Callithrix jacchus: one gene and its partners. The protein of the gene in region 1 purifies or fractionates together with the protein of each later gene. This does not show direct contact. Links are inferred from orthologs where the notes say so. Each region holds a gene or a part of one and is shown in the gene's direction. Other genes may lie near its edges. The genes, in order: HDAC3, XPO1, STAT3, RUNX1, CCND1, WDR5 and ATXN3.

Evidence for each region.
Region 2: the proteins of HDAC3 (region 1) and XPO1 purify together in Homo sapiens (affinity purification with western blotting; 3 studies listed by BioGRID, with this or other methods). This does not show direct contact. The link is inferred for Callithrix jacchus from reciprocal best matches to the Homo sapiens genes HDAC3 and XPO1.
Region 3: the proteins of HDAC3 (region 1) and STAT3 purify together in Homo sapiens (affinity purification with western blotting; 4 studies listed by BioGRID). This does not show direct contact. The link is inferred for Callithrix jacchus from reciprocal best matches to the Homo sapiens genes HDAC3 and STAT3.
Region 4: the proteins of HDAC3 (region 1) and RUNX1 purify together in Homo sapiens (affinity purification with western blotting; 3 studies listed by BioGRID). This does not show direct contact. The link is inferred for Callithrix jacchus from reciprocal best matches to the Homo sapiens genes HDAC3 and RUNX1.
Region 5: the proteins of HDAC3 (region 1) and CCND1 purify together in Homo sapiens (affinity purification with western blotting; 5 studies listed by BioGRID and IntAct, with this or other methods). This does not show direct contact. The link is inferred for Callithrix jacchus from reciprocal best matches to the Homo sapiens genes HDAC3 and CCND1.
Region 6: the proteins of HDAC3 (region 1) and WDR5 purify together in Homo sapiens (affinity purification with western blotting; 3 studies listed by BioGRID). This does not show direct contact. The link is inferred for Callithrix jacchus from reciprocal best matches to the Homo sapiens genes HDAC3 and WDR5.
Region 7: the proteins of HDAC3 (region 1) and ATXN3 purify together in Homo sapiens (affinity purification with western blotting; 3 studies listed by BioGRID). This does not show direct contact. The link is inferred for Callithrix jacchus from reciprocal best matches to the Homo sapiens genes HDAC3 and ATXN3.

Annotation. Positions count from the first base shown.
Region 1 is NC_133503.1:40,068,918-40,073,103, reverse strand, and holds the start of HDAC3 (histone deacetylase 3), read left to right. Parts: upstream 1-1,386; 5' UTR 1,387-1,440; coding exon 1,441-1,495; intron 1,496-1,602; coding exon 1,603-1,685; intron 1,686-3,538; coding exon 3,539-3,681; intron 3,682-4,186. Other genes in the region: RELL2 (RELT-like protein 2), read right to left, coding at 1-28. UniProt on the Homo sapiens protein: Histone deacetylase that catalyzes the deacetylation of lysine residues on the N-terminal part of the core histones (H2A, H2B, H3 and H4), and some other non-histone substrates.
Region 2 is NC_133515.1:52,645,317-52,648,135, forward strand, and holds the end of XPO1 (exportin-1), read left to right. Parts: intron 1-1,278; coding exon 1,279-1,425; 3' UTR 1,426-2,319; downstream 2,320-2,819. UniProt on the Homo sapiens protein: Mediates the nuclear export of cellular proteins (cargos) bearing a leucine-rich nuclear export signal (NES) and of RNAs.
Region 3 is NC_133506.1:121,758,031-121,761,530, reverse strand, and holds part of STAT3 (signal transducer and activator of transcription 3), read left to right. Parts: intron 1-813; coding exon 814-873; intron 874-2,238; coding exon 2,239-2,268; intron 2,269-2,369; coding exon 2,370-2,463; intron 2,464-2,559; coding exon 2,560-2,607; intron 2,608-3,500. UniProt on the Homo sapiens protein: Signal transducer and transcription activator that mediates cellular responses to interleukins, KITLG/SCF, LEP and other growth factors. Once activated, recruits coactivators, such as NCOA1 or MED1, to the promoter region of the target gene.
Region 4 is NC_133522.1:41,089,585-41,093,606, reverse strand, and holds the start of RUNX1 (runt-related transcription factor 1), read left to right. Parts: upstream 1-1,222; 5' UTR 1,223-1,354; intron 1,355-1,561; 5' UTR 1,562-1,620; coding exon 1,621-1,678; intron 1,679-4,022.
Region 5 is NC_133511.1:126,558,891-126,563,144, forward strand, and holds the start of CCND1 (G1/S-specific cyclin-D1), read left to right. Parts: upstream 1-1,454; 5' UTR 1,455-1,537; coding exon 1,538-1,759; intron 1,760-2,451; coding exon 2,452-2,667; intron 2,668-3,157; coding exon 3,158-3,317; intron 3,318-4,254. UniProt on the Homo sapiens protein: Regulatory component of the cyclin D1-CDK4 (DC) complex that phosphorylates and inhibits members of the retinoblastoma (RB) protein family including RB1 and regulates the cell-cycle during G(1)/S transition.
Region 6 is NC_133502.1:182,702,646-182,706,751, forward strand, and holds the start of WDR5 (WD repeat-containing protein 5), read left to right. Parts: upstream 1-1,306; 5' UTR 1,307-1,432; intron 1,433-1,771; 5' UTR 1,772-1,890; exon of another isoform or gene 1,891-2,088; intron 2,089-4,106.
Region 7 is NC_133509.1:126,952,602-126,956,778, reverse strand, and holds the start of ATXN3 (ataxin-3), read left to right. Parts: upstream 1-1,377; 5' UTR 1,378-1,447; coding exon 1,448-1,471; intron 1,472-2,763; exon of another isoform or gene 2,764-2,902; intron 2,903-4,177. UniProt on the Homo sapiens protein: Deubiquitinating enzyme involved in protein homeostasis maintenance, transcription, cytoskeleton regulation, myogenesis and degradation of misfolded chaperone substrates.

The DNA of each region.
Region 1 (4,186 bases):
GTTCCAGGTCAGGCTGTGGTTCCGACATGAGGTCCTGGGGGGCGAGCGCGGGCCAGGGCGCCTCCTGGGTTTAGGGGGCTGCAGCTGGGAATGGGGGAGGGGTAGGAATGCCTTGCTCAGGGTCTGAAACAAGCTAGTCTCAGCGGTCCGGCTCCACCCCCTACCCAACCGGGGAGCTGTCCGGGCCAAGGGTGCTGGTTCGCCAGTACCGCCCGAGGCAAGAGGTGAGCGGCTACGCAAGCTCTCTACCACAACCCTGGTCCTGTTTCCCCGACGCCCCGAGCGTTTCCCTTTACAGCTTGTTCGCGCTTCTGTCCCTCCCAAGGACACTGCAGCACGAGATGGGACGGAATTCTTAGGCGGCGGGAGCAGAAATCGCGCCTGAGTCAGCGCCCTCACCTCCTCCGAGCCGGTCTGAGCCAGGCCTCTGCAACCCTCTCCTCTCAGTACTCCCGCACCCCTTCCCCTTTTCGGTTTCTTCCACCCAGACCACCTGGCCCGCCCAGTACCGGTGATTTGGTTCTGGTTCCGGCTTCCGCTCGGGTTCCGGCTCCAGGGGCGTCCTAGTGCGGCTCAGGGCCCCCGACGCCCTCCCGGCGCTCATCCCTTGATTCCTCCCCTCCCCCTTCGCCGCCTCACCGGCCCCGGGCTGTGGCTGCGGATACCGGCGCCGTGGCAGGCGGGGGGAGGGAAGGACAGAGAAGGATGCGGGCTGGCTGGGAGCGGCGGCAGGCTTCGAGCAACCCCGGCCCTGGATCAGGGAGATGGGCGCCTCCGCAGCCGCCCTGGCTTCCCAAACGCCTTCGCCGGTCGCAGGCCCAGGACCAGGGGGCGGAGCGCAGGTGTAATGGGCGGAGAGCGTGAGCCTTGCGCGCGCGTGACTGCGCCGGGCCCCCCCGGGGCAATGTGCGGCGCGGAGTCTGGGTCCGGGTGGGGGACAAGCTGTCCGGTGTGGGTGTTGTCCACTATCCGGCACGCCTGGCGCAGCTCCTGCCCTCAGATGCCCCGACCGAGCGGGGAGTCAGGAATCTTCCCCGAGGGCTGGGGGAAGCCGGCTTTCCGCACCTTTGAGGGAGGGAGTGGCGGGACCTTCGTAGCTTCCTAGAGAAGTGACCACGGCCTGCGCCCGGTTTGGGGCAAGCGGCTGGATGGGATGGCTCGGCTTTCCGAGGATCTGACCCCCGGCCGGAGAGAAAAGGCCCTTGCATCCTAGGAGCGATGCTACCAGTTCCCCGCCTGGACGCCCAAAGCCCCAGATCCCGGGAGAGCGGAGACGGGCGAGGGGCGGAGCTCCTCTGGGGGCCTGGCCCGGGTGTGGCTGGAGGCGGGCCCCGCACCGCCCAGTTCCGCAGAGGCAGGCTACGTGCTGGCGCAGCACGCACGGCCGGGGCGGGGCTGGCGGCGGGCGGCGGAGGCGCGGGGCCTGCTCCCGCCGGCACCATGGCCAAGACCGTGGCCTATTTCTACGACCCCGACGTGGGCAACTTCCACTACGGTGAAGAAACAGGGATATGCACGAGGGGTTGGGACGCGGAGATTTGGAGGTGGGGGTTGAAACTCCAGGGGTGAGAGCTGACGAACTCTCTTCTCCCCACCCCCCAGGAGCTGGACACCCCATGAAGCCCCATCGCCTGGCATTGACCCATAGCCTCGTCCTGCACTACGGTCTCTATAAGAAGATGATCGTGAGTCCCCCTGCCTCGGCCGTGGGTTGGGGGGTGGGGAGAACTGTGGCCGTAGGGATAGGTGGGCTGGTCTGAGTGCATTGAATGCGACCCGCCCCTAAAGTAGGGGGAAGCTGGATAGAAGACATCAGGAGTACCTTGAATGTGCACGGTGTTGGGGGTGGCGTCCTCTGCTTAATTGAAAGTACTTTCTCACCGCAGGTCCGCCACCCTCTGACTATAGACAGACTGGCCCTTGGCCTAGGGTTAGGGTGATGTGGGACTGGTTTGAAGACAGAAGGTGTGTTCCTCCTCTGCATTTTAGAGTGTGGATAGGGCCTAAGCCTCAGGAATTGGGATGGGGGAAAGGATATCACTTTATCGGGGTGTGAGATTTACCCTCAGTTCCCACTCCTCCTTTACCAACAGTGCTGCCATGTTTGTAAGTGTGTATGTGCGTGTGCAAGAGTGGAGATATCCTAGATATTGCGTTTTCAGCCTAGAATACCTCTACATGGTTCTGCTTAATTGCTATCCAGTTTTTCATCTCCCAGACATACACATGCTGTCCCCCAAGCTTGGAATTTATGGCTGTGATATGGGATAGTAACAGTTAAGCCAGGCATGGTGGCCCATGCCTGTAATCCCAGCACTTTGGGAGGCTGAAATGGGAGGATTGCTTGAGGCTAGGAGTTGGAGACCAGCTCGGGCCACAGTGGGACCCACATCTCTACAAAAATAAAAAATAAAAGTAGCCATGCGTGGTGGGTGTGCCTGTAGTCCCAACTACTTGGGAGGCTGAGGTGACAGGATGGCTTGGGCCCAAGAGTTTGAAGTTACAGTGAGCTATGATCATGCTGTAGCACTGCAGCCTGAGTGACAGGGAGGACCTTGTCTCAAAAGAAAAAATAAGACAGCCCAGGCTTTATGTGTTGCTAGGAAATTAGTGAACAATATGAATGAGTGTTAATTGCTTATGCCAAGGCACAGACGAATGGATTGGTCATAGAAAAGACTGAGGTGATGTATGTGCAGGAATCTATACCCCTTGAGATTGTTTGCCCGTACGTACCTGTGTGCATTTTCTGGGAGAAGAAAAGCTCTTTCTTTTTTTTTTGGAGACGGAGTTTCGCTCTTGTTACCCAGGCTGGAGTGCAATGGTGCAATCTCGGCTCACCGCAGCCTCTGCCTCCTGAGTTCAGGCAATTCTCCTGCCTTAGCCTCCTGAGTAGCTGGGATCACAGGCACACACCATTATGCCCAGCTAATTTTTTGTATTTTTAGTAGAGATGGGGTTTCACCATGTTGACCAGGATGGTCTCAATCTCTTGACCTCGTGATCCACCCGCCTTGGCCTCCCAAAATGCTGGGATTACAGGCTTGAGCCACCACGCCCAGCCTGAAAAGCTCTTTCTTGTCCAGTTTTCAAGGAGGTGTGACACATCCCCCTCACCTTCCAGAGATGATAAATCTTTGATTTTAATTAGAAAGTTGACATATATCCCATATAGTTGACTCCAGAAAGAAGAATCCAGAGGAAAGAGGACAGAATCAGAGCTTGGGGGAGGAGATGAGCATGGAGAGAAATGGGAATAGGAAAGCCAAGGAACAGGGCAGGTGGATCAGGGCTCAAAGTTGAGAAGGTACGATAGGTTGAGCTGGAGGTGGAAAGGAAAAGAAGTGGTCTTCAGGGGGCTCAATTGTAATAGCCCACCTGGTTAGTTGGAGTCTCTCTCCTGACTTAACGATTGTGGGATGAGAGTATTGTTATGTTTGGTTTCATAGAATCTCCAGGACTGGGTTCAGTATGGGTGGTCTGAGCCTGTGGAGTGGGGCTGACCCTGCCTGAGTTCATCTTGTGTCTCCATCCTGAGGTCTTCAAGCCATACCAGGCCTCCCAGCATGACATGTGCCGCTTCCACTCCGAGGACTACATTGACTTCCTGCAGAGAGTTAGCCCCACAAATATGCAAGGCTTCACCAAGAGTCTTAATGCCTTCAATGTAGGCGATGACTGGTAAGGAACGACTGGGACTTTTGATGTCCAACAGTTTAATTCCAGTCCCTTCAGTGAGGTATTTTGGCACCAGTGGGAACATCTGAAGGGGGGCCTGCTTGTCAAAGAATCATAATTAACTTATTTGTTTATTCAATAAATATTTATTTGTCATTTGCTCTGGGGTAGGCCCTGTGCTAAGTGTTGGGAATGCAGTGATGAACAAAACCAAAATTTTAATATTGTGTTTTTGCTAAGTATTATGAAGAGGAGGTATATGACAGATTATGAGAGTGTATACATGGTGAATTTTCTAGCTTGGTGGAGTGGCTGGCTTCCTAGAGGAAGTAAAGATTGAGCTGAGATCTGAAAAAAGAGTAGAAGTAGTCAGATCAAAGGTGGTTGGAGGGTGAGGGGCAGAGTATAGCAGCAGTAGGGACAACATGTGATAAGGGTCTGTGGTAGGATTGAGTATGACTCATTTGAGGAACAGAAAAAAGGCCAAGTGCAGAATACCAAGAGACGG
Region 2 (2,819 bases), on another chromosome or scaffold:
AGAATTTGTATCATTTGATTTGTCATGCCAAATAAGTGGAGTTTGAAGATAATACATTTATACAATCTCACTAATCAAAGAACCTGAGACCAGTAATGGAGTGAAAAACTAAATCAGGTCCAATAAAGATAGGTTTGAGATGTTATTTGGGTGAACTTATTATTAATATAATTCATTTTAGGGATTGTTAAGTATATAATGGAATAGTGCCTAAGAAAAACATTAGTAGTCCTTTTTATAAGGCTTGCCTTGGAGGCAGAGGTTGAGATCATACATTGGGGTGACAGAACAAGACTCTCAGAGAACAAATTTCTGTGGATACATAGAAGGTGTATATATCTATGGGATGAAATGCATGAGATACTTAGGTAGAAGCATACAATATGTAATAATCACATTGAATATTTAATACATGGTATCACACCATGAATTTGTATTTATTTATTTATTTTTTTTTTGAGAGGAGGTCTTGCTCTTGTTGCTCAGGCTCGAGTGCAATGTGGTGTGATCTTGGCTCACTGCAGCCTCTGCCTCCCAGGATCAAGTGATTCTCTTGCCTCAGCCTCCCAAGGAGCTGGGATTACAGACACCTGCCACCACACCCAGCTAATTTTTATATTTTTAGTAGAGACAGGGTTTCACCATGTTGGCCAGGCTGGTCTCAAACCCCTGACCTTACGTGATTCACCTGTCTCGGCTTCCCAAAGTGTTGGGATTACAGGCTGTACCAGCCCTGTAATTGTTCTGTAACCTTATTTTTCTCCAGCTAGCAACTGGGGGAAAATATTGAGGTTAATTCAGCTACACAGTATATTGTATCACTAGTCTATAATTTAAAACCCTATCAGGTTTTTTTTGTTTTTGAGACAGAGTCTTGGTTTGTCGCCAGGCACCAGGCTGGAGTGCAGTGGTGTGATTTCAGCCCGCTGCAGCCTCCATCTCCTGGGTTCAAGCAATTCTCCGGTCTCAGCCTCCCAAGTAGCTGTGACTACAGGCGTGTGCCACCATGCCCAGCTAATTTTTATATTTTAGTAGAGATGGAGTTTCACCATGTTGGCCAGGATGGTCTCGATCTCTTGACCTTGTGATCTGCCCACCTCAGCTTCCCAAAGTGCTGGGATTACAGATGTGAGCCACTGCACCCAGCCAAAAACCCTGCTAGCTTATGGATAATTTATATTCCTTCTCTAAAAGGAAATAGCTCATCTGTGATTTCTTTATTTTTCAAAGGCAAGTTGAAGTTTATTGCATTGACATTTCAACTATCTGTTTTCACAGGAGTTTGCAGGTGAAGACACTTCTGATTTGTTTTTGGAAGAAAGAGAAATAGCCCTACGTCAGGCTGATGAAGAGAAACATAAACGTCAAATGTCTGTCCCTGGCATCTTTAATCCACATGAGATTCCAGAAGAGATGTGTGATTAAAAGCAAAATTCATGCTGTTTTTTTTCTCTGCAACTCTTGTTGGCAGAGGAAAACAGCATGTGGGTATTTGTCGACCAAAATGATGCCAATTTGTAAATTAAAATGTCACCTAGTGGCCCTTTTTCTTATGTGTTTTTTTGTATAAGAAATTTTCTGTGAAATATCCTTCCATTGTTTAAGCTTTTGTTTTGGTCGTCTTTATTTAGTTTGCATGAAGTTGAAAATTAAGGCATTTTTAAAAATTTTACTTCATGCCCATTTTTGTGGCTGGGCTGGGGGGGAGGAGGCAAATTCGATTTGAACATAGACTTGTAAATTCTAATGCAAAATTACACGTTTTTTCCTGTAAACAATACCAATTTTTAATTAGGGAGCATTTTCTTTCTAGTCTGTTTCAGTCTAGAAGAAAAGATAATGAGTAAAACAAATTGCGTTGTTTAAAGGATTATAGTGCTGCATTGTCTGAAGTTAGCAACTCTTGGACTGAATCGTTTGTCTAGACTATATGTATTAAAAGTCTCTTTGGCAAGTTTGCAGCAAGATCATGTGCATATCATCCCATTGTAAAGCGACTTCAAAAATATGGGAACACAGTTAGTTATTTTTACACAGTTCTTTTTGTTTTTGTGTGTGTGTGCTGTCGCTTGTCGACAACAGCTTTTTGTTTTCCTCAATGAGGAGTGTTGCTCATTTGTGAGCCTTCATTAACTCGAAGTGAAATGGTTAAAAATATTTATCCTGTTAGAATAGGCTGCATCTTTTTAACAACTCATTAAAAAACAAAACAAAACAACTCTGGCTTTTGAGATGACTTATACTAATTTACATTGTTTACCAAGCTGTAGTGCTTTAAGAACACTACTTAAAAAGCAAAATAAACTTGGTTTACATTTATTTTTCCTTTATCGACTCAGATTTATTTGTATATTAATGATAGTGGTTATTTGTGTTTAAGCATCAAGTAACATTTTAAATGAAGTTTGACACCTTGGTTTACAAGTAAGATGTCTACAGTTATTGTTACTAGTAAAGGTAGCAGGTGTGTAATATGAGCGTGCTCCTTTTGTTCTCAAGAAACAAATTATTACTCCTGTGACATTTTGACTCATTTTACCTTTATTTGGGATTACAGGGCACTTGTTGTCTAACTCTAGTTAGCATCTAAGTGTAACAGAATACACATTAGCCTTAGAATGAGAACACAGATATAACCTGGTACAAGTATTAGTTGTATTATTATAAAATGTAAGTAAGTAAAATGTAAATAAAAATAGCCATGAGTCTTCTAAAAAGGGTGAGTGGGGGCCAGGCTTGGTAGCTCACACCTGTAATACCAGCACTTTGTGAGGCCTAGGTGGGCAGATTACTTGAGTTCAAGAGTTCAAGACCAACCT
Region 3 (3,500 bases), on another chromosome or scaffold:
TGGTCTTCAACTCCCGACATCAGGTGATCCACCCACCTTGGCCTCCCAAAGTCCTGGAATTACAGGCATAAGCCACCATGCCTGGCCTTTATTTTATTTTATTATTTTTTTTTAGATGGAGTCTCTCTCTGCCACCCAGCCTGTAGTGTAGTGGTGCGATCTTGGCTCACTGCTATGTCCATCTCCTGGGTTCAAGCAATTCTACTGCCTCAGCCTCCCTGAGTAGCTGGACTGGCATACACCATCATGCCCGGCTAATTTTTGTATTTTTAGTATAGAGACAGGTCTTAGTCATGTTGGTCAGGCTGATCGCGAACTTCTGACCTCAGGTGATTTGCCTGCCCTGGCCTCCCAAAGTTCTGGCTTACAGGTGTGAGCCACCACGCCTGGCCTATTTTAACATTTTTTAAAGAGAAAGATAGAATCTCTCTCTTTGACCCAGGCTGGAGTGCAGTGGCATGATCATGTCTCATTGCAACCTTGAACTCCTGGCTACAAGTAATCCTCTTGCCTCAGCCTACTGAGTAACTGGGACTATAGGTTCATGCTGCCACACCCCGCTAATTTTTAAATTTTTTATAAAGGCAGGCTCTCGCTTTGTTTCCTAGGCTGTTATGGGACTCCTGGGCTCAAGTGATCCTCCCAGCTTTGCCTCCCACAGTGCTGAGATTATAGATGTGAGCCTATAATTATAGACAGCTTGGCCAATTACCTCTGAGAAATGAAGAATTATGAATTTTACCTTTCTTCAACAAAAGGTTATGGGAGAGTCTACTGACTTTTTTTTTAATTGGATAATTTCTTTTTAAATAGGTTGCTGGTCAAATTCCCTGAGTTGAATTACCAGCTTAAAATTAAAGTGTGCATTGATAAGTAAGTACTCCTATCTTAGTTCTTGTTTTCAAATGAGGAACAGAAAAATGAGAACTTTTATAGGCATCATTTGAACTCGAGATTCTATCTTTATTCAGAGATGTTTTTGGGGATGAAAGTTTACAAAAGCCCTGGGGTGCATTGTCATTTACTTGCCAGAACAAAGCCACAAAGCTGAGGGTATAGGTGTGATTTGTGGTTGCTGTTGTTTAGCGTTTTACTTGTACATGTAATTCATGCATTTTATATATAAGACTGAGATCATGTGTTAATTGATGACTGAGATACATTCTGCAAAATGTATCATTAGGCAATTTTGTTGTGCCAACATTTATGTAGAGTAGATGGTCTTTATACAAACTGGGTGGCAGAGTGCCTATGCTATGTGGTAGAGCCTGCTGCTTGTAGGCTGCAAAGCTGTACAGTATGTTACCATGCTGAATACCGTAGGCAATCGTAACACACATCACAATGCGGTAGGAGTTTTTCAGCTTATCATCTTATGGGACCACTGTCATATGTGCAGTTTGTTGTTGACTGAAATGTCTTTATGTATTCTTTCCATACATAGCGTGTGGAAAGAATAGATCTTTTTTTTTTTTTTTTTCTTTTTTTTTTGAGACGGAGTCTTGTTCTGTCGCCAGGCTGGAGTGCAGTGGTATGATCTCAGCTCACTGCAACCTTTGCCTCTGGGTTCAAGCGACAATTCCCATGCCTCAGCCTTCCGAGTAGCTGAGACTGCAGGTGCACACTACCACGCCCAGTTAATTTTTTTTTTTTTTTTTGGATTTTAGTGGAAACGGGGTTTTACCATGTTGGCCAGGATGGTCTTGATCCCCTGACTTTGTGATCCACCTCGATCCCCTGACCTTGGGAGGCTGAGGCCTCCCAAAGTGCTGGGATTACAGGCATGAGCCATCATGCCCAGCCTTTTTTTTTTTTAATTGTTCCACACTTTTACCATATAATGGAATACTCAAAATTTTATAATACCTTTCAGGATGTAAGATACACATACCCTTTGAATATATTAGAAAAGAGAAAATACATACTTAGTTGATATAATTATCTGGAAATTTCATGACAATGAACTGGAAAATAATGAAATAAGGGAGTTGACAAAGGTGGGAGGTTTAATAAGTACATATGCAATGTGAAACACGGGTTCCCCTTCCTATGGGGAGGCAACCAACTGTGCCTACTACACAAAGGTGTTATGATGCACTGATAAACTGTAACTAAATTGTTCATAGAAATGCCAGGAGCACAGAGGTTTTTTCAGGAGAGTAAATAACAGGTGGTCAAAGTAGGCTTTTTGAAGAAACATGGACCCTGTTTTACTGACAACGGTCTATGTTCTTACAGAGACTCTGGGGATGTGGCAGCTCTCAGAGGGTAAGTTTCGCCTAGAGGCTTCCTTTTGTTCCGTTTAACTTAACTTTATCCTGACTTTATACTTGGTCACCTATATGGCTGACTGTTCTCCTGCAATTCAGATCCCGGAAATTTAACATTCTGGGCACAAACACCAAAGTGATGAACATGGAAGAGTCCAACAATGGGAGCCTTTCTGCAGAATTCAAACACTTGGTATGTGGGAGGAGCTTCCTTCACACAGGGCTTCTGGCTGAGGGAGAGAGCTGGGGAGAGCCTCATGGGACACCTGGCCTTTTTCTTTCCTTGCAGACCCTGAGGGAGCAGAGATGTGGAAATGGGGGCCGAGCCAACTGTGATGTAAGTTTTGTTGGGGGTGTTTTCCCTGAGGGAGAAAGGGGAAAAGACCCTTCTTATTACCCAGAATTAGAAACATCAACCTGTCCTTTCAGCTATAGTTAATTCCAAAAAGCCATTGCAGGCCAAAGTGACCTGATCAGAAGTTCCATGTGCTGTGGCGTTCTGTGGCTTGGAGCATTTCTGTGAATATCTGGGAGTTGGCTCCTCCTTAAGGAGAAGTGGAAAGTCCCTTGCTGAGTCGTTCTCCACACCCATGTGTTATAAAGTAGCTTTCCACCTTGCCTGGGGCTTTCCAAATTCCCCTTCCAGATCCTGCCGTTGACTCTGCTTGGCTCCATTCTCAGTGTCCCATTTTTCTCTCTCACTGAGGTAGGATAGATGGTGTAAAAGCAACAGTCCCGAGCTAAACTTTAAAATAAATGACCACCTTGTGTTAGCTTGCTTAGGAAAAGAGAAAATAAAGTCAACGAACAAACAAAAACTCATCTTGTTCTTTATCCCCCTTATTTTCTGCCTTTCATTGATTCAGTTGGATTCTTAATGTCAAGTGTCAAGAATAATTTTTATTTTTTTAATAGAAAAAGGTAAATATGACCTAAAGCTAGTTTAATGATTTTTAAAAATTGTGATACCCTGTTCTTGTTCTCACATTTATCCCCTGAACAATTCTTCCTCTTTAAAACGTAGCAGTCCTAGCTAGGTGCGGTGGCTCACACCTGTAATCCCGGCACTTTGGGAAGCCGAGGCAGGCTGGTCACTTGAGGTCAGGAGTTTGAGACCAACTTGGCCAACATGGTGAAACCCCGTCTCTACTAAAAATACAAAAATTAGCTGGGCATTGTGGTGTGTACCTGTAGTCCCAGCTACTAGGGAGTCTGAGGCATGAGAATGGC
Region 4 (4,022 bases), on another chromosome or scaffold:
CATCATCACACAGGTTCTCTCGAGCCAACATTTCATGTGCATGGAGTGCTATGCAGATGTAGGCAGAGCAAAATTGAATAAGGTAGTTAGTTAGGAAAACAAGTCTTTCTTTGTCTTGGAACTACAAAACAAAATGATGTTTTATTTGTCAGCAGGTAAAGCCAATGGGGCAGGAAAAGAAGTATGTGTGACCAGAGTGGTTTGCCCACTTATAAAATTATCCCATGTTTAGCATCTTCAAACAGTCATGTCTTTCTGTAGAGGACAGATGTGCTATATAATATTTATTAGCCCCAGGAGAAGGAGCTTGCCCTGGAGAAGTGTTTCCTCCTGGTTCCCCTTCTATTGTGAAATCCTCACGTGCTCAAAGTGTAGTTTTACATACAGGTGTAAATTAGCCTGTTGATTTGAATTGAACTAGAGAAAGGTGATGCAGGGAGCCTTCCCAAGTGAGAACACAAACAGCAGAGTAACTACAGCTTTGTCCCAAATACAGGAATTCTCTTTGCTTTATTTTCCTTTAGCTTCCTAATGTGTGTGTTAAGAGAGTACTATGATTTTATCTCTTTACTGAGATACATACTAAAGTTGTCCATTTAGAAGGAATAAAACCACATAATTTTGGTTTCATTAAAATAGCCTTTTTATTTCAAAAGTAAAATTCTTTTCCATTCCCAGGCTTTAAAATACCTGGGAGTTGCCAGCCCCGTGTAGGGGTCAGACTCTCACCAAGACGTTTCCTTTTATTTATTTTTCCCTTTTATAGTTTCACTTATGCCATGATAGTCTTTACCAAAGGACTTAACTCTGCCGGAGCTGATGCTGAGCATTTTAAATGATGGGATCCACATCCTGTGGGAGCAGTGGCTTGATGCCAGCGTTGAATTACTATTGAATAAGCAGCAATGAAATCTTTATCAAAATAATCAGTAGTTCCAAAAACCACAAATAACAACAGGAGCCGAGTTGTACTAAATCAGCAAAGGCCATTGAGATATAATAAGAGACTGAGTCACTTTTCTCTGCATCCCGCCTCTTGCAAATTCTACTCGGCTATTTTCTTGCACAGCCTGGGGGAGGGCAGGTGGAGGGAAGGAAGGGCATTGCTCAGAAAAGAAAAAAAAAAATTGACATCACTTAAGTCACATGATCACCAAGAACCAATCAGGATGGGATGTGGAAAGGGGAACAGTTAAATTTGTAATTTGGGTTGTGTGAAAACTTCTTTGGGCCTCATAAACAACCACAGAACCACAAGTTGGGTAGCCTGGCAGTGTCAGAAGTCTGAACCCAGCACAGTGGTCAGCAGGCAGGACTAATCACACTGAATGCAAACCACAGGGTTTCGCAGCGGGTGAGCATCACCAACCCACAGCCAAGGCGGCGCTGGTTTTTTAATTTTTTTTAATCTTTAACAATTTGAATATTTGTTTCCACAAGGTGCATTTTTTAATAGGGCTTGGGGAGTCCCAGAGGTATCCAGCAGGGGGGAAAAAGAAAGAGAGATGTAGAGTAGGGGGTGAGACTGAAGCAGTGATCTTTCTTGGTTTTCCCTCCGAAGGCAAAAGAAATCATTGAGTCCCCCGCCTTCAGAAGAGGGTGCATTTTCAGGAGGAAGCGATGGCTTCAGACAGCATATTTGAGTCATTTCCTTCGTACCCACAGTGCTTCATGAGAGGTGAGTACACGCTGGTCTTGAAATATGTACTTTTGCTCAGCTTTGCCTGTAATGAAATGGCAGCCTGTTTCACCTCGGTGCAGAGATGCCTCGGTGCCTGTCGGTTCCCTGTCTGGTTTGTGGGAGGAATTCGAACTGAGGCATATGATTACAAAGCTATTGGATTACTTACTCATCAGATGGAAGCTCTTCAGAAATGTTTTAATAAATACTTAGTTACACTGGTAGAGTGTTCAGTCGGTGCGTGAGAACTTTGTTAAGTGCGAGTAAATTGTGCCGGTCTTGTTTAAAGGCTTAGAGATGACGAAGCTTGCACGAAGCTCCCTGGGTTTTATTTTGCTGTCCCTTGCCCGGAATGACTGTGTCTGAGTTACCCTTCACTCCGCATGCTGTGTGGCCCAGAATGCAGCCTGCCCCGGGGCTTAGCAGGCACATGCAAGAGCCAGCCAGGAGGGCTGGTGCCAGTGTTGGGCAGGAGACGGAGGCTCTCGGGTAGACTTGCACTAGGCTGGTGACTTCTGTCCAAAGTGGCAAGGCAGCTGTCTACCAGGCAGAGAGTACAGGAGCCTGACAGAATTGGTTAGGTTAAAATCATCAGCATGGAACTGTGCTGTGTTTTCCCTTGCAGCCTCAATGCAGAGACAACCAGCATCTTTTAAGAGACAAGGAGGCAAATCGTGGCATACTGAGGTCTCTCTGGAAAAGCGCAAAGAAGTCTCCTAAGTTAAATGTTCTCGCAGCTTAAGTCATTAGATTACAGGCTTATGAATGGGAATAGCCAGGGTGGAAAACCTGTCTCCATTTTTGAAACCAGCCTCTTGAAACTCACGAAGCTGTGGTTGAGCCGTGAGTGTATGTGTGTGCATGTCCGTTTTGTGTATCTTTCGTGGTAAAAGCGGGCTGTGTTTAAACAAACAAAAATAATAACGAACAATGTCACAAAGGCATCGCCGTGTGCATCAGGGCACGCACTCTGACCAGTGCCCGCAAAGCGTGGCTTGATGGTTTGGCAGAGCTGAGATGGAGTGGGCTGGGATGGGGGAATAATTAATTTTCTGGCTACAAACTCTCTCGAGCACCCAAATAATGTCTGTGACTCATTATTTATTCATACAGCTAAGTGAGCAGGGGAATGCAGAGGCCCTGCCAGCCGCTTTATCACAGTAAATGCTATTGTGAATGCACGGGGCTCTATGTTTCCGGGTCTCTGAAATTTAAAAAAACTTGACGTGTGTGTGTTTGTGTGTGTGTGTTTCTGTGTGTGTGTGTTTCTGTGTGTGTGTGTTTCTGTGTGTGTGTGTGTGTGTGTGTGTGTGTGTGTGTGTGTTGGGGATGGCAAGGGAGAAGTTAAGGAGAAAGGGAAGAAAGCAAGTCATTAACCAAGTTTGAGCTTCAAATTAAAGAGTTTTCAAGTGCTTCTTTACCGGCAGAGGGAATTTTAGTGAAGTTGAATCACACAGACATACATTAGTCACTCGTCTTGCAGTTGGTAACACAGAAACACCGGCCACTGGTGAAAAGCTGCAAACGGCCCCTGGCTGCATTTCCTCTGGGCTGCTAACAAGCAGAGGAAGCAATACTATTCGTAGAATAACAGAAAAAAAAAGATCTTCCTGCCCTTACTCTGCTTTCAATATCCCCTCGGAACGTATATTGTTTCCTATTTTATCAACTCAGGAAGGCAGATTCAGGAAATTTTTAAGCATTCTGCTGGGAGATAGGTTGCATTTCAGAGTGCAGTGCCAGCCTCTGGGGCTCTTCTTAATGGCCAACAGCAAAGATGGTGAGGGGACACGGTGACCTGTGCAGACATCAGGAGATAGCAGGAGTCCAGCTCTCTCCTGGACAAGCCCAGGGCTCCTGTGCCCAATGGATACTCAGCTGACCTGCCCCAGGTTGGGAATGAGGGTCAGTTAAACTTTCACGAGGGCAGTGTGGGGAGGGCCTGAGCTCTCACTAAGACTCAAAAGGGCTAATCTGAAAAGGTTTCTCCATTCCTTCCTTTCACTGAAAGAAATCCGGGGCCCTTCAGAATCTCTAATTTGATAATATAATATTGAGATTTAATGTCGGAGGGCCACGTGAAATCTTGGCAATCTTTTGGTTAATTTCATCCAAGTGATCTATCAACATAAATTGTCCTGTTTACCCGTCCACATCATTCATCCAAGCTGGAGAGGTGGTAAAATATCATTTCTGTTGGTATCGTTTGGTCATCATCTTAGAGCTTGATGCTAAAACAATCACCACCCCCACCAGCAAATGGCTCTCCTGACCGTTCTCAGGCTGTTGCTGTAGCTGGGCTACTCACAGTGGTCAATGCGGTCATTTCTGACGGCCTATA
Region 5 (4,254 bases), on another chromosome or scaffold:
GTTCTTGAAATTTACACGTGTTAATGAAAATGAAAGGAGATGCAGAAACTGAGATTCTTTGGCCGTCTGTCCGCTCGTGGGTGCCCTCGTGGCGTTCTTGGAAATGCGCCGATTCTGCCGGCTTGGATATGGGGTGTCGCCGCGCCCCGGAGTCCCCCCTCCTCGTGGTCTCCCTAGGCTGCGTGTGGCCTGTGGGGCTTCCCAGTTGTCCCCTACTGCAGAGCCACCTCCACCCCACCCCCAAATCCCGGGGGACCCGTTCGAGTCGGACCGGGCCCCCTGTACCCCTCTTTTCTGGCGGGGAGAAAGGCTGCAGCGGGGCGATTTGCATTTCTATGAAAACCGGACTACGGGGGCAACTCCGCCGCAGGGCAGGCGCGGCGCCTCGGGGATGGCTTTTGGGCTCTGCCCCTCGCTGCTCCCGGCGTTTGGCGCCCGCGCCCCCTCCCCCTGCGCCCGCCCCCGCCCCCTCCCGCTCCCATTCTCTGCCCGGCTTTGATCTCTGCTTAACAACAGTAACGTCACACGGACTACAGGGGAGTTTTGTTGAAGTTGCAAAGTCCTGGAGCCTCCAGAGGGCTGTCGGCGCAGTAGCCGCGAGCAGCAGAGTCCGCGCGCTCCGGCGAGGGGCAGAAGAGCGCGAGGGAGCGCGGGGCAGCAGGAGCGAGAGCCGAGCGCGGACGCAGCCGGAACCCACAGCCCTCCCCAGCTGCCCAGGCAGAGCCCCAGCCATGGAACACCAGCTCCTGTGCTGCGAAGTGGAGGCCATCCGCCGCGCCTACCCCGATGCCAACCTCCTCAACGACCGGGTGCTGCGGGCCATGCTGAAGGCGGAGGAGACCTGCGCACCCTCCGTGTCCTACTTCAAATGTGTGCAGAAGGAGGTCCTGCCGTCCATGCGGAAGATCGTGGCCACCTGGATGCTGGAGGTGCGGGGCTTCGGGCGGCTCTCTTAAGACCTCCCTGCAACTTGTTGCCCATACCCACGTTTCTTTGCTTCTCACTCCCCTCTCTTCTCTCCCGCTAGACCTTTGAAGTTTGCCGGGGTGTTGCTAGGTATTTTCAAAATAAAAATTGTGGGTATTTTCTGAAGAAGGAAGGGGTGGGGGTGGGGGTGCTAGGAGTTGCGTTTCCTGGGACGGGAGGAGGGGGTCGGGGAGGGGTGCCTCCAGGAGAAGCCAGTGCCAGGAGCACCCCAATGGGCCCGAGGGTGCGGGCTGGCAGGTTAGGTGCGCTTTGTGCCCCCCGCCTGCGCCCCAGCCATGCTGCGGCTCCTCTCCCGGCCGCCGCGGCCGAGAGCCTCCAACTCCGGGGGGAGGGGGCATAGATTTGATTTTTAAATTACTATCCATGGACACGTATGCAAGGGCTTCTCGTGCCAGTATTATGCGCCATCTTTGCTCTTTTATTGCACAGCAAAAGTGTTTATTAATAATTGGGGGCAGGGTGGGGGCGGGGAGCGGCCGCCGGGCGCTGGGGCCGCAACTAGGGGCCCGGCGGCTGCCCGGAGCCCGCGGGAGGGGCGCGGGGACGCAGCATGGGTAGTTTTGGGGGGACCCCGCTGGGGAAAGGGGGGCCTTTGTTCAAGCAGCGAGTCCCAAAGCGCCCCGCACGGGCAGCCTGGGCCGGAGAGCACGCCGAGCTGCAAGGTCGCGTGGCCCCCAAGACGCCAGGGCTGGATCCCCGTCTGCAGGGATCTCGGCTTGGGGGACCTTCTCCGAGCGAGCCGGGGGCCTGGGAGAACATTTTCACACCTTCGGTAGGCGCCTGAGGGGCCCGCAAGTATTTTTAAATAATTTTTGAAAGTGCGGCGTGGTGCCCTTGCGAGAGGGAAACACCGCCCGCGCCCAGGGGGAAGGGGGTCCCCGGAGTTTGAATTCCTGGGGCTTCCCCCGGACCCTGTAACAAACTCCCGACCCCCGGCCTGGGTAAAGGGCCGTCCGAGGGTCATTTTCAGGGTATTTTTACGCACTTAGTTATTTTTTAAATATTTTTAAATATTTTTTGAAAAGATGACGTCTGGGGAAATGCGGCGCGGCGGCCTGGGACGCCACCTTTGTGTCTCGCAGGCGCGGCGCCCAACCCCGCGGCCTTTTGCGCGGCCCCGCACCCCAGTGGGTGTCGACCCACAGCCAGAGGGGCCACGGAGCTCCAGGGCGGGCTGGGGTCCCCGGGGCCTGCAGCCCGCGCCGCCGCCCAGCTGTGCCCGCTCCCGCCCCCACCATGCCAGCCTCGCGGGGACTTTCCCTTTCAGTTTCAGGGAGGGTGGATACTCGGGACGCGCGCGAGAGGGGGCGCATCACAGGAAGCTTCTGCCGCCCCCGGCCCCGACCCCTCGGCGCCCTCCAGAACTGGTGGTCCTGCCGAGCGCGATGGGCATGCGAGGGCGGGGGAGTGGGGTGGGGGTGGCGCGACCTGGCGGCGGCGGTCACGGGCCCCGTGCCCCCGCAGGTCTGCGAGGAGCAGAAGTGCGAGGAGGAGGTCTTCCCGCTGGCCATGAACTACCTGGACCGCTTCCTGTCGCTGGAGCCAGTGAAAAAGAGCCGCCTGCAGCTGCTGGGGGCCACCTGCATGTTCGTGGCCTCTAAGATGAAGGAGACCATCCCCCTGACGGCCGAGAAGCTGTGCATCTACACCGACAACTCCATCCAGCCCGAGGAGCTGCTGGTAACCGCGGGACCCCCGCCGCCCCCCGCGAGCCGCAGGACCACCGGGCCGGGGAAGGTGCAGGGGCGGCAGGCGGCCCCTTTGCCGGGTGTCCTCGTCCTGGGAGCGGGTGGGATCCTAGCCGCCCCGTGCGCGCTTGCCTGCGACTCCCACCTCGTTAGCGCTCTGCGGTGTGGCCGAAAAATGGGCGGCGCGCGCCCTCCAGCGGCTGCACCGGGAACGCCGCGCTCCACGCTGAGCCTTCCGTTCCAGGTGGTGGGAAGTCTTTTTGTTTCCACTTGCAGAATCTTTTCACGCGGCGGGCGCCTTTTCTGTTTTGATCTGGGATCGTGTGTTGCCCCAGCTTCCTGGACCCCCCAGCATTCGCCAGTCCTGCTCCCGCACCCCCAGGACCACACGAGACTCAGGGGCTAGGGCCATACTGCCGGCTTCCCCGCGTCCCCAGGCCGGCCCGCACCTCCCCTGATAGCCGCTCACCCTGTGTTCGCAGCAAATGGAGCTGCTCCTGGTGAACAAGCTCAAGTGGAACCTGGCCGCCATGACCCCGCACGATTTCATCGAACACTTCCTCTCCAAAATGCCAGAGGCGGAGGAGAACAAACAGATCATCCGCAAACACGCGCAGACCTTCGTTGCCCTCTGCGCTACAGGTAGGGCAGGCCCAGCCGCCCCCAGCCTCCCCTTGAAAGCCAGCACCTTAGGTGGCCTGGCCAGCTTCTTGCTCTGCACCTGGGTGCTGTCCCGGAGGACGTCCCTAGGCCCCCGCCTGCGCTGGGAAGAGTTCTTCCAGCTCTGGTGAGCAGAGGTGCTGGCTTGTTTGCGCTGGATGGAAGGGGATTTGCCCTTACGGCCGCGCCACCACGCAGCCAGCCTGCCTGTGTCTAGATGCTGTGGCCTCATCCTCCAGGCCGAAAGGGGTTTACCTTGGCCGCAGGGCCGCCTCCTTTCCCCACCGACCTCCAGCCCTTCTTGTGTCCTTAAGGAGCCTGAGCTGCGGGGGCCCCCTCCTGGCCTCTCCCAGGCTGGGCGACTTGCCAGAGGCGCCTCCGGGGGCGGGGAGAGCTGTCGGCCCGCCTGCACCACGTGTTCTGGGCAGCTGAGTGCAGGGGTGTCCAGCAGAGGAGCTCAGCTGCCTGAGGCCCTGCCAGGGGTGCCGCCAGTCTGCTGGGCTCAGCTGAGCCCTGGGGAGCACTTCAGAGCAGTCTCAGCTTAGGCCGCCACCGTGGGCAGCAGAAGTACCCAGTCCTCACCTCCGCTGGCATGGCCCTGGCCCCAGGACCCAACTGGGATAGACACATGCATACACAGGGTGCTGCCTCCTGCTGTCCCCAGCCCTGCCTCTGACCCCCCTGTGCGCCTCCTTCCCTGGTTACCCTGATGGGGGGGCCCTGCCCCCTTTTGGTCAAGCCTCAGTTGTCACATCTGTTTGTGGGCTCACTCTGGGTGACAGGCCACAAGGTCCGGGACATCAAAGACACAATAGCATCTTCTCCCCCAATCCCTTGAGGGCAGAGCCCCCCCAAACCTATTTCAGCGCACCCTCTGACACAGGTAGCCAGCAGTTAGTGTATTATTCCAGAATGGTTT
Region 6 (4,106 bases), on another chromosome or scaffold:
GGGGGAGAACAGCAGGTGATGGGCGGGGATTCTGGCCCAGGCAGCCAGGTGGACGGAATGGAGATGGCCTTCATCCGAGCTTGGTTTGCTAACCTGTGACAGTCACTGTTCCATGCTCCAGGGCACCTGGCCCAAGGGACCAGGCCTTTTGGGCACACAGATCCACACGCAGCCCTGCCGGACCACACAGGAACCTTCCCTTCTGTGTCCTTCCTGGGAAGGGGATTCCAGACCATCTGCCAGTCTTTCGGTTCAGCCTTTCTGACAAGCGCACACCTCACTCTCCCCGGACATTTTTATTTCAAATGCTCTGTCCCTTTGTTTGCACGGGTTCCTGTGTCATATTCTGTGTTCCCATTTTAAATTGGAGAATAAGTGACTGCATGTTATTCTTCCCACAGGCCTAGTTGAGCGGGTAGGGAGGCCGTACCTACCTCCAAGGCTCTAAGAAGTGAAGCAGGAGGCGAGAATGCACAGTAGTCAGGGCTAGACGACCGGGCCTCACCTTCTAGGCCCCGGGGTCCTCCTCTGGGGACCACCCCCTTGTACCCGTAGGTGAAAATACCCGCCCAGGAGGAAAGGGTTGGCCCCAGAGAGCCCTGTGCAAAGTGAGTTTGCGCACTGCGGAGCGGGCGCGGGTGTCTCCAACGCGGCTCTCCCAGTCCGCGGGGCTGGGGAGGAGCAGGTGCGCGCACCGCTGGCTCTGTGCCAGCAGAGGCGGGAAGAGCAGCCGGCCCCGCGGGGAGGCGCAGCCCGGGCTTCCGAGCTCAGTGAACGCGCAGGCTCTGGGGCTTCTAAATGGGCCGGAGTCGTCCTGCCCGCCCAGGGTAGGCGGCCACATGGGGGGCACTGCGCCCGGGCGCGGCCCCAAGTGCTTTCCAAACGCCCACTGCCGCTGTCATCCGTACCGGCGATGATCCAGAAGGGGCCTGGTCGCCCGGGGAGGTGCCCCGGTCCGCCTCGATTCCGGGGACAACGCCAGGCGACGCCACCTGCGCGGGTCCCGGAGGGCCTCTGGTCCCAGTGTGCAGGGCGTACTCAGTCTTGGAAACGCGAGAGCACACTAGCACTTTCCTGTATGTATTATTATACTTCCATTTTTAGGAAGTGCATTAGAAGGGCCTGCGGCAGCTGAATTCGGGATTAAAGCTTTAAAGCGGGAAGCGTGCTCCCGGCGCGGTTCCTTTAAAGCGTTGGGCCTGCCCGAGGCATTCTGGCCGCAGCCGCGGCCCGTAGCGCTTCTCCGAGAGGCGGGCTTTGTGCGCTCGCCCCGCCTTTGGACAACGCCCCCTCCCCTCGCGCACGCGCACTGCGCCCCCGCCGCCTGGCGCCCGCCGGAGCTGCCGCCTTGTCGCGCAGAGTCCGCGCTCCCGCCCAGGAGGCGGCCGACGCGACGTCCCGAGCGCCCGGCCCCGCCGCCGCGGCCCGACAGGTAAGTGGGCAGCCGCCCGGCCCGGGGGGCACGAGGCGGGGAGTGGGACGGCGCCAGAAGCCCTCACATCGTCCCCGGCCGCCGCACGTGTTCCTTGCCGGGCCTCCGGCCAGGCCCAGCCCCCGGCGCTACCCCCACTGCGGCGGCCCCGCCCGGGACCCCCTCACGGGCTCCTCGGTGGACGGCCGCGCGCGCAGGCCCCTGCACCCCGCCCGCCCCCACCGGCGCTCCCACCTCCGATTCCCTGGCGGGCCGCTGACAAGGCCCGAGCGCCGGTACTGGGGCCTCTCCCTCGGCGGCGCGCCCGGCCTCACATCGCTCCTCTTCCTCCATCTCCAGGGAAGGACCAGACCCACGAGCCAGTCAGTCCCCGGACGTGGCGCTTCCCTTCGTAGAAACGCCCCAGCCCGCTCCCGCCGCTCACTCCAACCGGAGGCAGCCAGGCTGCACCTCGCTAGGTGGGGTCCTGGGGTTCGGGTCCTCGCTCCTGAACGGAGGGTCCCCCGCTCCTCCTCGCGCGGGGCCGCAGACCAGTCCTGGCCGGTCTGCGAGAGCCATCTTGAGCGGTTACGTTCCCGGACTAGACGGAGGTTGGGCTGTTACTTCCCGCTAACGACCCTCCCTGCTGTCTCGCAGGCAAGTTTCCAGCTACCCAGGTCTGTTTTCCTATCTCCCAAATGCTTACGCTGTGACCTGGGCAGGTGCGGTGCTAGCCGGTGGGGAAGACAGATGGGTAAGCGAAGGACCCAGGCCGGGAGCCCGTCCAGGACCTGAGATGCGCAGCGCCGGGTTCCCACCGCTGTCGGGCCGGCCACCTGGCTGCTGTTTGGGATGCACATTCATTCCGGTCTGCACGCAGCATGCTCTCTTGGACAGCATGCCGCAGGCCGATTCCTGGGCTCCACCTTGGGGACTGAGGGACTCCGGAATCCGCCAGTGGCATCCAGCCCAGGAGAGCATACTGAGCTTTAGTTGCTGGGCTTCAGGTGGTCAGGCTTACCTGGATGAAAAGCAGCAGCTGCTAGGAGGAGCCAGGCCGCACCTGGGCGGGGGCGGTCAACTCCTCATCACCGTGCATGGAACCTTCTTGGCCCCCACTTTTTCAGCATCAAGTCGCCAACCTTCCTGTTCCCTTAAAGTGATTCTTCACAGAAACTCCTGGGTGTTTATGAAAATGCCAAGCTTTGGGCTGGGTGTGGTGGCTCACACCTGTAATCCAGCACTTGGGGAGGCTGAGGCAGGCAGATTGCTGAGCTCAGGACTTCGAGATCAGCCTGGGCAACATGGCAAAACCCGTCTTTACTAAAAATGCAAAAAATTAGCCGGGTATGGTGGTGCTCGCCTGTAATCCCAGCTTCTCTGGAGGCTGAGCATGAAAATCGCTTGAACTCCGGAGGCGGAGGTTGTAATGAGCCAAGATCTTGCCACTGCACTCCAGCCTCGACCCAAAAAAAAAAAAAAAAAAGAAAATTTCAAGCCTAGACCCCACCACTGAGGTAGAAATTGGTGGGTGTGTAGTGTCAAGAAACTCTATTCTTAAAAGGCATGTTAAAGTTAAGGGTTTTTTTTGTTTCTTTGTTTCTTTTACTTGTTAATGTTTTTAGAGCCCAAAGGGTGGGGTGGGTGGGCCTGAGCTGGGAGGGGTTGAGCTCCTTTTGTAAGACCGCCAGTCTGCTGCGCCTTGCCTGAGGGTGTTTCAGGCATCTGGACTCACCTAGGTGAGTAGACAGCTGACTGGAGCTGCTCGGCCCTCTGAGCTGCCGGTTCTGCCTTCTGTTCCTCTGGTGTTTCACTTGGGTAGGGAACGGCCACACTTCACTCAGCTCTTGCCCTGACTTGGCTGTCTCCGGCTAGGACCTTTGCAGTGGACTTTGCAGCTTTTTGCTTGGATTTCCGTAGCTCCTCCCTCTCCTTGTACTTGTCCAGCGTGCCAGGGAGAAGGCAGCAGTTGGGTTAAATTGCCATGGCCAGGTTGCACTTATGACAAGCACCATGTAGCCGGCATTTACCGAGGACTGGCTTTGTACTGGCACTTTGTACTCTGGGCAGCTCTACAGGGCCTGCCCCTCCCCTTCCCCACTCGTGTGTGTGTGTGTGTGTGTGTGTGTGTGTGTGTGTATGTGTGTGTGTGAGAGTGTGTGATGCTCAGGCTTTAGATGCATCGTGATCCATCCTTTCGAAGGGAATCTTTGCTGCAGGCGAAATGGATCTGTGGCCACACCTGTTTTCTGGAAAGTGGGTGTTGTAGTTTCTCTGCCTTCCTCTTGCATCAAGACTTTGAGACTCTTTTTGATGCCTTCCGTTTCACCTTAATGTTACAAGCAGCCTTGCAAGATTTCGGTTTCAAGCTGCAAACTAGAACGTACAGTGTGTAAACTCGTTAGATGGATGGTGGTGCTAGCTTCCAGAATTCTGATGGCCAGTGGTATTTGCAAGCATGTCTCAGTGGCTTGCTTTTTTAGTGATGCTGTGCCTCCTTTCAGAATAACCTGTTGTGCTTTTATGAGACGTATTCAAGTAATGGATCTATTCTCGAGATGGAGGAAACTAGCTGCTTACTAGAGAGATTTTGGGTAAATTTTATTGTCAAGCTGAAACAGTCTTTTTTCATTCCCTTGCATGTTGGTCTTGCTCGTAGAATATCCCTGGTGTACTTGAGGCTGCTTTTCCAGAA
Region 7 (4,177 bases), on another chromosome or scaffold:
TAACCTCCATCTCCCAGGTTCAAGTGATTCTCCTGCCTCAGCCTCTTGAGTAGCCGGGGTTACAGGCGTGCGCCACCACGCCTGACTAATTTTTGCATTTTTAGTAGAGACGGGGTTTCACCATGTTGGCCAGGCTGGTCTTGAACTTCTGACCTCAGGTGATCTCACCTCAGCTTCCCAAAGTGCCAGGATTACAGGCGACAGCCACCGTGCCCAGCCATTTTTTTTTTTTTTTTTTTTTTGGTGAGATGGACAGAGAGAGAAACTCCGTCTCAGAAAAAAAAAAAAAAGTGCATCTTAATCTGGTTTCCAGGTGCAAGATGTGTGCCTATCCTTCCATTTAAGGTTCATCAAACTGCTGCTACCTCCCCGTTTCCCACACAATTCACTGCACCTCTAATTTCCCTCTAAAGGGCCAGAACACCTATGCTGGTAACAAGCCACTTGAATTTGAATCCTAGCAAGGTAACTTACTATCTTGGACATTGTACTCTTCTTAATCTCTCTGTGCCTTGGTTTCCTCATGTGTATGAATAACATCAACACCGACATCAAAGTTTGCTGTATTAAATTTGATAATATGTGTAAAGCAATTAGAAAAGTGCCTAGCTCATGGAAAGCCCTATATGAATATTAGCTAACTTTTTTGTTTTCTTTTTTGTGTGTGTGATGGAGTTTCACTCTTATTGCCCAGGCTGGAGTGCAATGGCACGATCTCAGCTCACCCCAACCTTCATCTCCTGGGTACAAGCGATTCTCCTGCCTCAGCCAACGGAGTAGCTGGGAATTCAGGCATGTGCCACCATGCCTAGCTAATTTTGTATTTTTAGTAGAGATGGGGGTTGCTTCACGTTGGTCAGGCTAGTCTCGAACTCCCAACCTCAGGTGATTCGCCTGCCTCGGCCTCCCAAAGTGCTGGGATTACAGGTGTGAGCCACTACCCCTGGCCTAGCTATCATTTTTATACAAGTGCTAGGTTTTGGGAGAATGTAATGACACCTTTGCTTAACAACCTTTAATTGGAGGAGGAGGAGAAAGATAATAAATAGTTATTTGAACACAGTAGAAAGTTCAAATAAAGTGGAAAACAAAAAGAACATAGAACCCAGGTGAGTGGTCCAGACCTCCGGCCAGAAACCTAAGAATCCATAGAAATGGGTGGGAAGCGGAACAGATCCTCCAAACAGCAGGTGGCGCTGTAGCATCTCCCAGAAGGCCCGCTAACAGAATATAGGAGGACGGGCTACCAAGGTCACGTGTCGCTGGCGTTCACTCGCTCTTTGCTCCACGTGACTCACATCCTCACGGGTGATTGGTCTACGTACTGCACGTGGGCGGGGAGACTGGGGCGGACCAGGGAGGGGCGGGATAGGCGGAGGAGAGGGGCAGGGGGCGGAGCTGGAGGGGGTGGTTCCGCGCGGGGGCCGTTGGCTCCAGACAAATAAACATGGAGTCCATCTTCCACGAGAAAGTGAGTGTCCGCGTTCGGTGGGGAGCTGTATGTCCGTGCGGTGGGGAGCTGTCTGCCGCGCGGTGGCGGGCGTGGAGCGCGGCATCACAACCTCCCAGGGGGCTGGGTGGGGCCCGAGTCGCCCCCATCCGGATCTCGCCGGGCGAGGGGCGACCCCGCAGCCTCCTGCCTCCTCGGCTCTGGAAGGGGAGCATCACAGAATCCCCCACTTCCCCCGCTGCTTCCTAGGCCCCCGCCCGGGAAGCCGGGAGGGTGTATGGGCGGGGCCGGGGCGTCTCGGGACAAGGGAGTGGGGTGGCGCCTAGTGGGTTCGCTTCTGCCTTTTTCCGTCACTTTCAATCGCTTTTCGAAGGATTCTTTGACCTCCGCAAGCCTTCTCTCTCCCTAGGGTCTAGCTAGAGTGACCTCTGGGACATCTCCCTCGACCCCTCCTACCCCATTCCTGGCAGAATTAACTTTTTCATCTCTGGACTGCTCAATTCTATATTGCAGTGTAGAGTCTTCCCTACACGTAGATCTTTGGAGTCTTGTTCATGTCTTTCCCCTGCACTGGGTCCGCAAGCCTCCCGAAGGAAGGGACCTTGGCTCCCCCACACTGGGGCCTGACACTTAGGAAGTGAAGTAGGAAACCCGGCTTGTCCCTTAACAGGGAAGTCGTCACAAGTTTTTATTACGGGATGTTTGGGTTTGGTTTCTTTGGGTACTCCCATCTTTCCGGAGCAGGCGGCCAGCTTTGTGTTTGGGTATTAGGAGTGGATTGGAATGATTTTGTTGTGGTCTGCCTAGCCCGCTGTCACTTTAACTCTTCAGTGACCATGCACTTGAAGATACTGTTTGTGATAAGTGGAGAAACTTGTCTTTACTCACATGCTATTAATCCAGCCATTTGTGTGTGAGTGAAGCCTTCCCCAGGACAACTTTGGCATATGATGTCTTGTTTCATAATAGTTTCGTGTTTGGAGTTGCTGGCGAGGCTGTTATTTAATAGGAGGAGCAAAGGGTTTTTGTTTAATTAAATACTTGTAAATGATCAGTAATTATCACGATTAATTATCCCAGACATTTAAAATTCACACACACACAACAAATAAAGCAAAGGCAATAAATTTACCAGATGTAAATCTGTAATATGAATCTATTTAAAAATTTTTTATTTTAGCGATGGGATTTCATTCTGTCACCCAGGCAGGTGTGCAGTGGAGAGATCCTGGCTCGCTGCAGCCTTGACCTCCTAGGCTCAAGCGATCCTCCTGCCTCAGCCTCACTGGGACTTCTGGTGCATATCGCCATGGCCAGCTAATTTGTGTGTGTGTGTGTGGAGATGAGGGTCTCGCTGTGTCGCCCATGCTTGTCTCAAACTCCTGGACTCGTGATTCTCCCACCTCAGCCTCTCGAAGTGCTGTGATTACAGGCATTAGCCAGCCACTGTGCCTGGAACAAATTGTTAAGTACAATATTTTAAATTGTAGAAAACATCTAGGAAACTTTTAAAATAGACTGATTTAGAGTGGGGGAGGAAAGACTCAGTCGTATAGTTGTTATTAATCTTTTGGTTTGATTGACATGACTTACAAATCATAGACAATAGAGATTTAATTACTTGGCTCAGTAATTAAAGAGTGGGTGGAAAATACACATGTACTTAAAAAAAAAATTTTTTTTTTTTTTTTTTGAGACCAAGTTTTGCTCTTGTCACCCAGGCTGGAATGCAGTGGCACGATCATGGCTCACTGCAACCTCTTCCTCCCTGGTTCAAGGGATTCTCCTGCGTCAGCCTCCAGAGTAGTTGAGATTACAGGTGCCCACCACCACATCCAGCTAATTTTTGTATTTTTAGTAGAGACAGGGTCCATGTTGCCCAGGTCTTGAACCCCTGACCTCAGGTGATCCACCTGCCTTGGCCTCCCAAAGTGCTCGGATTACAGGCATGAGCTACCGCACCCAGCCGTATTTTTGTTACTAACTTTCAAAGGCTTTGATGTGGGACCACATCTCAACATGGAAGGCCTTAAATATGTTCCACACTACTTCCTGAGATTTAGACAAGGTTTTCAACGATATTGATTGTTACCTAGTTGGGACACATTTCTACTGAACCATGGTATGAAAAAAAGTTGGGTGCTAGCCTAGTGAAAATCTACTTACCTGAAAGAAGTCCCTCTTAATTCTTAGCATGTGTGTAGGCCTACAGATACTTCAGGAATACATTTAATGTTATCATCAAGTTGTATGTACATAGCAAATGAAGATTCAACAATTTAGGTTGATGTTTTTGTTTTTTGAGATGGAGTCTCTCTCTCCTGCCCAGGCTGGAGTGCAGTGGCGTGATCTTGGCTCACTGCACTCTCCACCTCCCGGGTTCAAGTGATTCTCCTGCCTTAGCCTCCTGAGTAGCTGGGATTATAGGCGCCCACCATCATGACCAGCTAATTTTTGTATTTTGTTGTTGTTGTTGTTGAGACAGAGTTTTGCTCTTGTTGCCGAGGCTGGAGTGCAATGACACAGTCTCAGCTCACTGCAACCTCCGCCTCCCTGGTTTAAGCGATTCTCCTGTCTCAGCCTCCTGAGTAGCTGGGATTACAGGCGCCCACCACCATGACTGGCTAATTTTTTGTATTTTCAGTAGAGACGGGGTTTCACCATGTTTGCCAAGAGTAGTCTTGAACTCCTGACCACAAGTGATCTGCCTGCCTCAGCCTCCCAAAG